Macaca fascicularis: one gene and its partners. The protein of the gene in region 3 purifies or fractionates together with the protein of the main gene of each other region. This does not show direct contact. Links are inferred from orthologs where the notes say so. Each region holds a gene or a part of one and is shown on either strand. Other genes may lie near its edges. The genes, in order: SIKE1, FGFR1OP2 and STK26.

Region 1 (4,293 bases), on a different chromosome or scaffold from region 3:
TGGCTGTAACTCTTTTGACTCTAAGTCGGTTGGCCGCAGGAGTGACATGATGGACTCAGGACAGGTAGCACACCACCCTGGCATTGATATGGGACAAAATTAAAGTTTGGACACTGATACTGTCTCTGGGATACGTTGACAAAAAAAAAAAAAAAAAAGCGGAATGCTGTTTTGAAGGCATGAGTGTAGCCATTCCCCATCTGCGAGCGTTTGATTAGTAAAACTGCTTTCCTTTCATCATCAGTCACTTCTCATGATTTTGGCCTCTAGGCAACAAACAGCCAGACGTGAGCCAGTTGTAATAGCAGCATTATTTACAATAGCAAAAGGCGGAAGCAACCCAACTGTCCAGCGGATGAATGGATAAACAAAACGTGGCATATACATATTATTCAGCCTTAAAAAGGAAGAACATTCTAACATATGCTACTGTGTGGATGAAACTCGTGGACATTACGCTAAGTGAAACAAGGCAGTTATATGAATATAAATGCTGTATGATTTCACTCACGTCAGGTACCCAGAATAGTCAGATTTGTAGAGACAAAGTAGAATGGTGGTTGCCAGGGGCTGGGGATAAGGAAGAATGAGGAGTTATTGTTTAAAGAGTGCAGAACTTCAGTACTGCAAGACGAAGGAGTTCTAGAAATGGATGCTGATGGTGGCTGTATAACCATATGAATATACTACTGAACTGTACACTTAAAAATGGCTGAGATATTAAATTTTATGTGCATTTTGCCACAATTTTTTAAAACTTAAATGAAAGTAGGCCAGGCGCAGTGGTTCACACCAACACTTTGGGAGGCCGAGGCAGGCAGATCACTTGAGGTCAGGAGTTCAAAACCAGCCTGGCCAACATGTGAAACCCCGTTTCTACTAAAAATAGAAAAATTAGCCGGCATGGTGGTGCATGCCTGTAATCCCAGCTACTCGGGAGGCTGAGGCAGGAGAATCGCTTGAACCCTGGAGCCATAGGTTGCAGTGAGCCAAGATCGCGCCACTGCACTGCAGTCTGGGCGACAAGAGCAAGATACCAAGATACCGTCTCAAAAACGAAAAAAAATAAATAAAAATTAAATGAAAATAAAAAGAAAATAACTGTGACTGAATAACAATCCACATCAATGAAAACCAGTGGGGAAAAGAGACCTTCCTTCTGCCCAGCTCATCATGGCCTGACCACCAGGCTGTGGCAACTGGAAACCAAGAGCGTGGTAAGGGCAGGTCTGGGGCTCCGCGTCAGGCAGGACTGCAAGGAAGCCACAGGTAAAAGCGGGTGAACCCGCAAAATAGGGTGCCACTGCGCAGGCGCCTCTTGCGTCTGCCAAGACACCTTTTAAACGTGCCCGGAAGTGACGCCAGTAATGCTGAGACAGACTCCCAGAAGATCTGAGCGAGTCGCGTAGCTGAGCCCGGCAGGGGCTGGGGTTGTGCTGCTGCTATGAGCTGCACCATCGAGAAGATCCTGACAGACGCCAAGACGCTTCTGGAGAGGCTGCGGGAGCACGATGCGGCTGCCGAGTCGCTGGTGGATCAGTCGGCAGCGCTGCACCGGCGGGTAGCCGCTATGCGGGAGGCGGGGACAGCGCTTCCGGACCAGGTCAGGCAGAGGGTAGGAGTCCAGTGCTCTCGGATTCTGGGCACTGAAGGGTGGAGAGCGAGGTAAAGTGGGAACTCGGCCTGAAATTTATTCCCGGTCTCAGAGGGCGGCGGTGAGACCTTTTTCCTGGGTCGGAGCTGAGAATCCTGCCCTAGAGCCCTGACTTCTGCCACTTGAGTTGCATCTGCCGCTGTTCTCTTTAAGGCATGCTTAGACTGTCTCTATTTGTCCAGTATCAAGAGGATGCATCCGATATGAAGGACATGTCCAAATACAAACCTCACATTCTGCTGTCTCAAGAGAACACACAGATTAGAGACTTGCAACAGGAAAACAGAGGTTAGTCAGGCCTTTTCATATCTGGTAATAGTTTAAAGTTACTGCAAAATTGCCCTAAACATTCACAAGGGTGTGCATCTATTTCCAGGTCAGTACTTTTAGTAGGAGAGTCCTCCTGTGCTGGCTCAGTAACAGTAAAGTTTGTTAGATTACCCATTTCAAGGTCATCTGACTGATTTTGTAGCAGCTTACCAAAGAGGGGCTATGTAGAGTTAGAATTATTGCATGGTTTATTTTTAAGCATCTCCAGATGTGTAACAAAAGAGTTCATATCCTCATGGACTTAAAATTTAATGTTTAAATATTAATATAAACACTGAAGGTAAGATTTAAGGTTTTGTTTATGTTCTTGTTTGTGCAAGGTGAAGCAGCAGAATTTTACTCTAAGGGTATATATTCTTAGGCTTGATTAGTACATTATTAATGACTGTAGTATTAATAGTTGTTTACCAGAGGGGTTTCACATATATCATTCTACTGTATTCTCATATCTTCATTTTTATCTATCACAATGCTGTTAAGAAATAGGCTCAGAGAAGCTAAATGATTTACTTATGAGTATTAACCAAGCAAGTTACAGAACTGAACTCAAATCCATGTCTTCTGATGACATATCCGTTGTTGTTACTGCAAGATTTTGCTTCTCTGCCTAGAAAGTTACCTTTAACATAGACTTTAACTGCTCAGTTTTGTGGACTGAAACATTGATTTACAACCTTGGATTCATATTATCTCTATAGTATTGCAAAATTCTAACTGTTAAGACTTTGGATTTGGGAACTGTCTCTCAGACATCACTGCCAAGTTATTTTATTTTTTGACAGAGCTGTGGATTTCCTTGGAGGAACACCAGGATGCTTTGGAGCTCATCATGAGCAAGTACCGGAAACAGATGTTACAGTTAATGGTTGCTAAAAAAGCTGTGGATGCTGAACCAGTCCTGAAAGCTCACCAGTCTCACTCTGCAGTAAGAAACTTCGAATAAATTTGAAATGAACCAAATTGAAATCTTGAGATTGTTTTAGATTGTGTGCTTGTTTTTTTGCTTTTTGAGACAGGGTCTGGCTCTGTCGACCAGGCTGTGGTGTAATGGCACGATCTCAGCTCACTGCAACCTCTGCCTTCTGGGGTCAAGCCATCCTCTCACCTCTGCCTCCTGAGCAGCTGGGACTACAGGTGCACACCACCATGCCCTGTTAATTTTTGTGGGGTTTTTTATTATTATTATTTTTTTTTTTTTTTTGTAGAGATGAGGTTTCGCCATGTTGCCCAGGCTGGTCTGAAACTCCTGGGCTCAAGCGATCAACCCACGTTAGCCTTCCAAAGTGCTGGGATTATAGGCATGAGCCACTGTGACTGGCCATGTGTGCTTGTTTTTGAAGAAAAGTAAGCTTGTTTTCCTTTCATGTTTATCATATTTGTTGTTTATTTTGCCATGGCTTTGTAAAGATATGAATAGAAAGAAGGATAGTGGTTGCTCAGGTCCTTTTATTTGAATGGGACTAACGTTCCCCCTCCCTCACCAAGATCTCTTTTGAAAATGTTCATTAATTCTTAGCCCTCACACCAAACGTAATGTCAGTTAGTGTTGAAGGTGCCCAGTAAATACTTGGTTGGTTATTATACATTTCACTTAAGCTCCTTGGTTGTGAGGCACTTGAATTCACATTTTATTCCTAACATAGTACCTGACATATAGCAAGCAGTCAATAAACCTTTTATAAACTGAACCACATAGCATCATACTATGTTATTAGGGGATAGAAGTATGGTTTTTAAAAAAAACAAACATGGCATAGTTTCTATGCTTTGATTGCTTATTATCTAATTTGGGAGACTCGGTAATTGTTCTTATGTTTGTAGGTGCTTCATGGTTGTCATTGTACATTCGTGTGTACTGTGTCATTTAATTCTAGATGTATAAGTTGGAGCCTACTACTTCTGTGAGATGTAGTGAAATATAAGCTTCATCTTAAATTACATTGAATGCATTTTACTGACTTAAAAGTTTTAGGAAACAGATATTTTAAATATTTGAATGGCTTTCAACTGGAAGAGAAAAATAGATTTTATTTATTCTCATATGGAGGAAAAAACCTGAACTTTGAAAGAGACAGTTTACTCAGATAGATAAACTTTCTAAGTGATATGTCCAAAGATAGAATAAGGCACCTTGGAATGTAGTAAGCTTCCTGCCAGTGAAAGTATTCAAATTTAAGTTAAACAGCCACTTAGAGGTAGTATCCAACATCCAATGGGTAGTTAAACTACAACTGATTTTTTTTTCCGTTTCAAATATTTTTATTGGAGGGTGGACCTATTGGGTGATTGATGCACTGGACATAGATAAT
Region 2 (4,412 bases), on a different chromosome or scaffold from region 3:
TGGTGGCGGGTGCCTGTAGTCCCAGCTACTCGGGAGGCTGAGGCAGGAGAATGGCGTGAACCCAGGAGGTGGAGCTTGCAGTAAGCCGAGATGGCGCCACTGCACTCCAGCCTGGGCGACAGAGCAAGACTCCATCTCAAAAAACAAAAAAAAAAAAACAAAAAAAACAGACTTCAGTAAAAAAGGAATATTCTAAACTTTTTGACCTATTTTTGTAGTGCCTATCTTAACTGGCCATAATACACTTACTTACATTATTTTCTCTAGGCAGGTCCAAATTACAGGTGAATCTTTTTTTTTTTTTTTTTAGCAAGTTAAAAAAATTATTTTTTTCTTTTCTGCATTAGTCACATTCTCGCCCACTTTACCACCCAAAGACTTTTGCAGTCAGACTCCTGGCAGAAGGCTCAGAACATTCTGCTGCTGATAAAAGAGAAACCACCACCCACCCAAGACAGCAATTGCCAGCTGTTTACTTTCAGATTTTGGTTAAGAAAAATTTAAGGAAATTCAAGTCATATTTTTCAAGCCAACCTCAGAAAATAAATGGGAATATATATGAAATGTAAGAGAAATTTTAAAGACTAAAAAAATTTCAAGTATTTTCTAGATAATTAATAAAAGCCTAGCAACCATTTTAATTAGGCGTCACATTAACTATAAGATCAATGAATGTTTACTGATTGGAAACTTTGTTTCCCTTATCGGTCAATCCACTACTCCTACCACTACATCTACACAGAAATACTGTGGCTACTGATACACCACAGATGTGTTTTTAAATGTCAACAATCTAGTTTAAATTTTTTCATGTTCAGGTATATGTCTCTAATATTATATGAACTGACCCATATGAAAATAAAAAAACTAAAAGGTATAGTCATGGTTTTCATATAAACTTATAATCTTAAGAATGCAAGAAAGAATGCATGTAAATTACATATAAAAACAAGCATTTACACAGACATATCGCTGTATCTGAAAGCAAAGAAAATTTTCACTGTTCTTTAAAACAGTGGAATGAATATACGTTTGTAACTGTATAAAGACACTTTCTGAAGAAAATTAATTTTTAAAGTTGGAAGAAAGATTTTGGAAGTAATGACACGAGGATTTTTTTAAATATTACACGTTCCCTTAGAATTATGGCTGAATATAAGTTTCATATACATATGTTTAAACAGTTATGACAATTCAAGAAGGAACCTAATATAAACCAGCTATTTCTAACCTACAGGCGAAGGAGTCAGTGGAAGAGTTGCCTGAATGCACATACTCCAAGCACTGTCTGTAGTCAATGGAGATTTCTGCTCCATTTCTCAAATATAAAGATACTACAAAAATAAAATACAAAATCATTTAAAAGCATAGTAGTTTTCTGTCATTATACGTAATTTCAATCAACAATTACTAAAAGTACAACTGCGTGTGTATTAGAAGTGCAGGGTTTCTCACATTCAAAACAGGTCAGGAGCCTTTAAGCCAATGTACAGAGTTCCTTCTGGCTCCAAAATTCTATGATTTTAAAGGATGAAGAACTCTTATGGTGAATTCTTTAGAACTATTCAATTTCAATAAATATACATATGTATATATAAATAATGCTTGCTACGTGTCAAGTATTGGACTTTTTCTCAGAGATGAATAAGACCTGATTCCAGACAGACCCAGGTTCAAATTGGCAGGAGAGGCAGATACAGAAACAAATAATACAACCTAATAAATACTGCAGAAGAAATGTTTCAAATGCGTAGGGAGCACAGCGGTATCAATGTCACCTGGGGGAGTATGAGAAGACAATGATTTATGAATTGGGTTTTGATAGGCGGTAAAAGAAAGGAACAGTAAATATCCTAGACAGATGGTACTGCACGTACAAAAGTACAGAGCTGTCAAAGTGCATGGCATGTTTGGGGAAACAGCCAGTATAATCTGGTATGGTCGGATATTAAAGCAAGACTAAAAGGTAAAATGGATTGGGGCAGACTGTAAAAGATCCTGAATGATGATGTGCTTAACAATTAGGATTTGATTCTGTCAGCAATACAGTTACTAAAAAGTTTAAGGAAAGGACAGAGATAAATATGTATTTTAGAATAACTCTATGGAAGGATTATAGCAGAGAAACCAGTGGAGGGCGGGGGGCGGGAGGGCAACCGCACTAATTCTGGCGAAAAAAATAATAATAATACAATGCAGTGTGAGTGGAAATGAACCAAGGATGATTCCTGGTTTTCCAGTTTGGATAGCAGGACAGATACTGGAACCGTTATCAGAGATGGGATACAGAAGAAAGGCAAGAAGTAAACCAGAAAAGAGTAATACCCCTTGGAGAGCAGTTTCAAGAAACAAGTTATCTCCATTAGACGCTGCAAACAGGTGACTGAAAGGGTCCTCCGTCCGGTGGTGAGCCCGCAGGTGGCCAAGGCAGGATGAAAGTAGATACGGAAGGTGTGTCCAAAGCGTTAGGGCCAAGGCTTTTCACTAAACTTTCCGCACCCCATCTCCATTATGAGGAGCTCGGAGCCGGAGGGGTGCGGAGAGGAACTCCGGTTCCCAGGAGCTGGGAACCTGCGGCTGGAAGCGGCCAGGGCTGGGCGCCGGTGGTTCAAGAGGCGCAAGGCACCGGCCCGGGCGAAAGACTGCCCCAGCGAAGGACGCCTCCGAGTCGCCCACCCCTGCTCCCGTCCCTGGATTTAGTCCACTTACTCTGCTCTTAGTCCCTCGCAGCCGTCAGCTGTGGCGATGCGGACTCAAAGCCTCTACTAACCGGGACCTAGGCACTCAAAGGAAGAGACTCTGCGCCCCTAATCCGCCTCCTCAGCAAGCAGACGCAGAGCCGCACGGAGGCAGCGTAGGGGTGTCCGGACAGACAGTGGCGTTCAGCCCCATCACCGGATGGGTAGACACCTCCGCCGACCGCCTCCGACAGGCTCTCCCGGAGGACTCCAGCCTCGCGAGATTTCCTTCCTCGCGTTACGGTGGGGCAAAACCGACCACTCTCCGCTTTGCGCGAGAAAGCGGGGCGGGGCCCTTGTATGTCCCTCCCTATTCCTCCCCTCCCAGGCCTTCGCTCGGCCTCTCGCAAAGTCTCGCGAGTTTTTCCAGGGGAAACCGGCCAGGGTGGAGAGACAGAGAAGGGGAGACCGGGTGGGTGGGCCGTACGCTCAGGGGGCCGTGGTTGGTACTTCGCTGTTGGGGAGGCTTTCAGGTCGCCCAGATCCTGCTTCCCAATGGGTGACTGGGAAAATTAGTGGGTGGAAAATCTCGAGGGGTGGAGGCTTTTTTTTTCCTCTTTGGCCCCGCCCTCTTCCTGTTCGGCGACTGGGAAGCCTGGCCCTCCGAGGGGGAAGGGAGACTTGGCGGGGCTGTCGGAGATCGCTGTGCGCACGCGCGAGCCCGAGTGTGTGAGTGTGCACGCGCACGCGCGCTCTTGCTCTCAGGAAGCCTGGGAAGGACCGGTGTGCTAGGAGATGATCGGGGAAAGCATAGTCCCCTGTCTGTGGCACCAGACACTCCCGACTGTGCGCTGACTCTCCCCACCCAGCCAGCAGCCTTTTCCAGAGAGGCTGTGGTCCATAGCCTCTTCGTTTTCACTGCAGGACCAGGCACGAAAGTAAGCGAACCTCGATCCTGAGGTCTTCTTATCCACTCACCTTGTATTTTCCACCCCCCACCCTGCAGCAAAGTGGGTCTAGAAGGTTTCTCAGAGAGTTTTGCGTGAAGGGGAGATGCGTCTTGAAAGCAGGAGGTGAAAATAGCTGGATCGTAAGAAATCAGTTCGTTTTGATTAACACTTTGGCTTTGCTTGCCATGTGCTTTTCGAATGTGGATTGTCTATTCAGTATAAGATTTTGTTAGCGAAGCAGGGGAGTACCATATGCTCTGTTTTAATAAGTAAAAGTTTTAAAAGTTTTAAATTTCCTCTTCCACACCAGTGTGATGGTAACAACTAAGTTTTTCTGCTCTACCTTGTAAATTACTGTGATGTTTCAAAAGCTAAGGGGAGAGTGTGAAGTTGGGGTCCTCATCCTAAGGCGAAGACCTGATGTGCGGTTATCTTAGGAGATGTTTATCTTTGTTTTGGCCTTTTCTTTTGCTGTCACTCCACTTTCCTGTTAATTCCGCACCCCTGCCCCCCAGTCCCCCTTTTCCAGAAATCTTCAAACGTTTTTCTAGGAGGGAAGTCCAAAAATACTGGCTTGGGGTTTATATGTGACGAACGTCAATTAGCAAGGACCATAAAGGTGTATTTCAAGAGTATTTGTCACTTACTATGTTTCGTATATGTAAGGGAATCAAATACAATTAAATGTCAAAATGTTTCCCTCTGACAATTTTAAGTTCATTTTAAAAGCAAAACCAAAAATGTATGCACTAGTAATTTTGTCTGTGCCTGGTAGAGTAACAGC
Region 3 (3,649 bases):
AGAATCTAAAGGAATAATTGTCCCAATGTTTAAAAACTCCTGGTACAAAAAAGATCTGATCTCAGCTGCAGGTGAATACTACATTTTACTACAGAGTGGTAGTGGAGTGGTTCTCAGCTCGATGTGTGCTTCATTGAGACCTCCTACCAAATGTAAATACCTGTCCCTCACTGCTCCCCACCTATTGAATCAGGATCTCCAGTGGTGTGGCTTGCGATTGCTTTAAGGTTCCATGTGCATCCATGTCCCTACAAAGGACACAAACTCATCCTTCTTGGACTCGGGAAGGGGAACATCACACACCGGGGCCTATCATGGGGAGGGGGGAGGGGGGAGGGATTGCACTGGGAGTTATACCTGATGTAAATGACGAGTTGATGGGTGCTGACGAGTTGATGGGTACAGCACACCAACATGGCACAAGTATACATATGTAACAAACCTGCACGTTATGCACATGTACCCTAGAACTTAAAGTATAATAATAATAAATAAATTTAAAAAATAAAAATAAAAATAAAAAATAAAAAATAAAAATAAAAATAAAAAGGTTCCATGAGTGACTCTTATGGGAAGCTAAGGCTAACACCCATCAGAATAGGGCACAAATTATTCTGATATTTTTTATCCCTTTCCAACATTGAGCAATTTCTCATAAATGGAAGAATCTCAGGGTAGTATCTAAATAAATTTGGTGTTGCCTTTTTGCCAGTTCAGCTGGTAGAGGACTAAATTCTGGCATAGCATACAGACTTTCCTAGTCTAAATTAATTGACGGACTTAGAGGCTGAATTTTTAATGTAAACGCTGCTGTTATAAAACACTACAACTTTTTCAAGAAATAAAAATTACACATAAATGAATATTCAAATGTATCAGTCTGATCTGGATTTGGTACATGGCCAAGAGGTGGGAAAGGAAAGTTCTTTAGAGGGATTTTGCAGGTTGCCATCAAAGTATGAGAAAACACAGCTCCTTATTACTTTGGGCAAACTAATATAACACTTTTAATTGAATCTTGCTCCAAAATTTTGTAATATACTCAAGTATCCACTAGGGGTTAGACCAAGACCATTTAAAACTAGAGCTATTCACTTCCAAGAAAAACATGTTTCCAACTTCATTGTATTCTAGACTGTGATTGAAAAAGATTTTTACAGTTTCTAAGGTGAAATTTCAAAATATGGTTTATATTTTATGCTAGAACAAGCACACTGATCATAGCTAAAAGATATACAATATTTAAATAGGCTACCTACATAAAAATTAAATAATTTGTACATACGAATCAGAGCCCTCGGAATCAGATTCATCATCACTGTGTCCTTCTGCCTTCCATCTCTTAAAACGATCTATCAGTTCAGTCAGATAAGAAGTCTTCTTTGAATTTTTTACAATGAATTTGTGTTTCAGAAGTTCTTTTGCTGTAGGGCGCTAAGGATAAAAAGATCAAGGCTGCATATTACAATTGTTGAACTCTTATGATTACAAGGAATGGTTAAAAAATCATCTGAATTATTAAGCTGAAAGGTATAAAGGTATGTCTGTAGATATAAGAACAACTAAAATGCTGTAGGAAAATAGCTAATTCTATTATTGAAGTGGCTCAAGGCAACTGCATTGAATCTACTACTTTGGCGTCTAAATTTGTTAAAGCCCAATGGGCAGCAGGTGGCTTACCCACCAGCAAACTGGCAGGCAGGGCCTTCTCAAAAGCAGAGAGACACATGACAGTATTTAGAAAGTAAACATTTAAAAACATTTCAAAGTAATGTTCTAAAATACTTTAATCACATTTACTGTAAATTTGAAAAAAACTGATGAAAACTTGCAAGGCTGTAGTTTTGTTATTATTTACACATATCTTATAATCCCTTCTCCATCAGACATCAATGTCTATTGCATCTAAATGCAAACACCAGGTGCTGTGGAGAATGTCCCGCCTTCACTTTATTAATATCACAATGTTTATCATCAACTTAAAAATAGTTATATCAAGTTTGGACTGCTCTTGTGTATTTCTCGTCTCGAAAAATCACAAGGCAGCTTTATTTCAACAACAGCAAAACAACTGTAATCGAATCTGCCAAGTAAATGAATGGAGCTCACTAGCCTAGGAAAAGTATACAACTCCACGGTGAAGTTTCTAAACACTAAATAAAAATAGTTAAACCTGGCCAGGCGCAGTGGCCCATGCCTGTAATCCCAGCACTTTGGGAGGCTGAGGAGGGCGGATCGCTAGAGGTCAGGAGCTCGAGACTGGCCTGGCCAACATTGTGAAATCCATCTTTACTAAAAATACAAAACTTAGCCAGGCATGGTGGCAGGTGCCCGTAATCACAGCTACTTGGGAGGCTGAGGCAGGAGAATCGCTTGAACCTGGGAGATGGAGGTTGCAGTGAGCCTAAATCACGCCACTGCACTCCAACCTGGGCAACAGAGCAAGACTCTGACTCAAAAAAAAAAAAAAACAGTTAAACCCAAACATAACTTTTCATGAAAAATGAAAACAGCTGAATAAAAATCACTGTATTTATACATGCACTTTAATAATGACATAATATAAAGATAACTTTACTTCTCAAATTTATTTCCCCCTGAAATAGGAAATAATGAATAGAATAAGGAGGAAGCTGGGTACCAAGAAAAAAATGAAGGGTAAGGAGAAAAAGAATGAAGAATCTGGTTAATAACTCAATAGAAGTAGCAGTACAGAAGGAAGAACCAAGTTCCTGGATGGATCTTAGACAATTCTCACATGCACTGTATTCCCTATTGCAGGAAAAGCTGCCTTTGCTATAAGTAGATCTAATAATAGAAAATAAATAGTAATGATAGCAATATATACTCACAAATGATGGATCTTTGTTCAGGCAAGCATCAATAAACTCCTTAAAAGACTTAGTAAAGTCTCCAACAAGAGTTGGAGGATTGTTTTTGGGAATAAGAAACAGAACTCTCATTGGATGCATATCGGAGTTAGGTGGCTCTCCTTTGGCTAGTTCAATAGCAGTAATTCCCAACGACCAAATGTCAGCCTAAGATAAAAGGAAAAACAAATATATATATGTATATCACCTTGAAACTCCATTACAATATACTACCACAAAATAGTCTGTGGAACCTAATGGTCATACAGTACTTGTCTCTCAAGAAAATGTGGTGTTAATAAATTTTTATTACTATAATTCATTTATTTAAAACATAATGAATTCCATACTTTGTGTCAGGTACCCTTCTCAGAATGGAGGATTTCAGTGGTGAATAAGCCAGACAAAAATCCCTGCTCTTAAGGGGCTTACATTCTAATAAGAGAGACAAATAAATAAATAAATACATAATATGATGCCAGATGGTGTTAACTTCTGTGAAGAAAATAACAAGCATAGTAAGAGAATAATGAATGATGGGGGCAAGAGTGTTGCAGATCTACATAAGATGGCCAGGGAAGAATTCTCTGTGTAAGTGATGTTTAAGCAGACCTGATTGTGGGAGGAAGATTTTTTCAGACAGAGGGAAGGGCAGGTGCAAAGGTCCTGAGGCCAGGGTGTACTTGCTATGTTTGAGGAACAACCACGAGGCCACTGTGGACGAATAATCTAGAAGAGAGTGGTAGGAGATAAGACTGGAGAGGCAGATAATGGCCAGA

What was found.
Region 1: the proteins of STK26 (region 3) and SIKE1 purify together in Homo sapiens (affinity purification with mass spectrometry; 4 studies listed by BioGRID and IntAct, with this or other methods). This does not show direct contact. The link is inferred for Macaca fascicularis from reciprocal best matches to the Homo sapiens genes STK26 and SIKE1.
Region 2: the proteins of STK26 (region 3) and FGFR1OP2 purify together in Homo sapiens (affinity purification with mass spectrometry; 4 studies listed by BioGRID and IntAct, with this or other methods). This does not show direct contact. The link is inferred for Macaca fascicularis from reciprocal best matches to the Homo sapiens genes STK26 and FGFR1OP2.

What each region holds. Positions count from the first base shown.
Region 1 is NC_088375.1:119,590,532-119,594,824, forward strand, and holds the start of SIKE1 (suppressor of IKBKE 1), read left to right. Parts: upstream 1-1,372; 5' UTR 1,373-1,444; coding exon 1,445-1,615; exon of another isoform or gene 1,616-1,665; intron 1,666-1,836; coding exon 1,837-1,942; intron 1,943-2,766; coding exon 2,767-2,909; intron 2,910-4,293.
Region 2 is NC_088385.1:29,681,070-29,685,481, reverse strand, and holds the start of FGFR1OP2 (FGFR1 oncogene partner 2), read right to left. Parts: upstream 2,950-4,412; 5' UTR 2,710-2,949; intron 1-2,709. UniProt on the Homo sapiens protein: May be involved in wound healing pathway.
Region 3 is NC_088395.1:138,326,791-138,330,439, reverse strand, and holds part of STK26 (serine/threonine-protein kinase 26), read right to left. Parts: intron 3,039-3,649; coding exon 2,853-3,038; intron 1,435-2,852; coding exon 1,286-1,434; intron 1-1,285. UniProt on the Homo sapiens protein: Serine/threonine-protein kinase that acts as a mediator of cell growth. Modulates apoptosis. In association with STK24 negatively regulates Golgi reorientation in polarized cell migration upon RHO activation.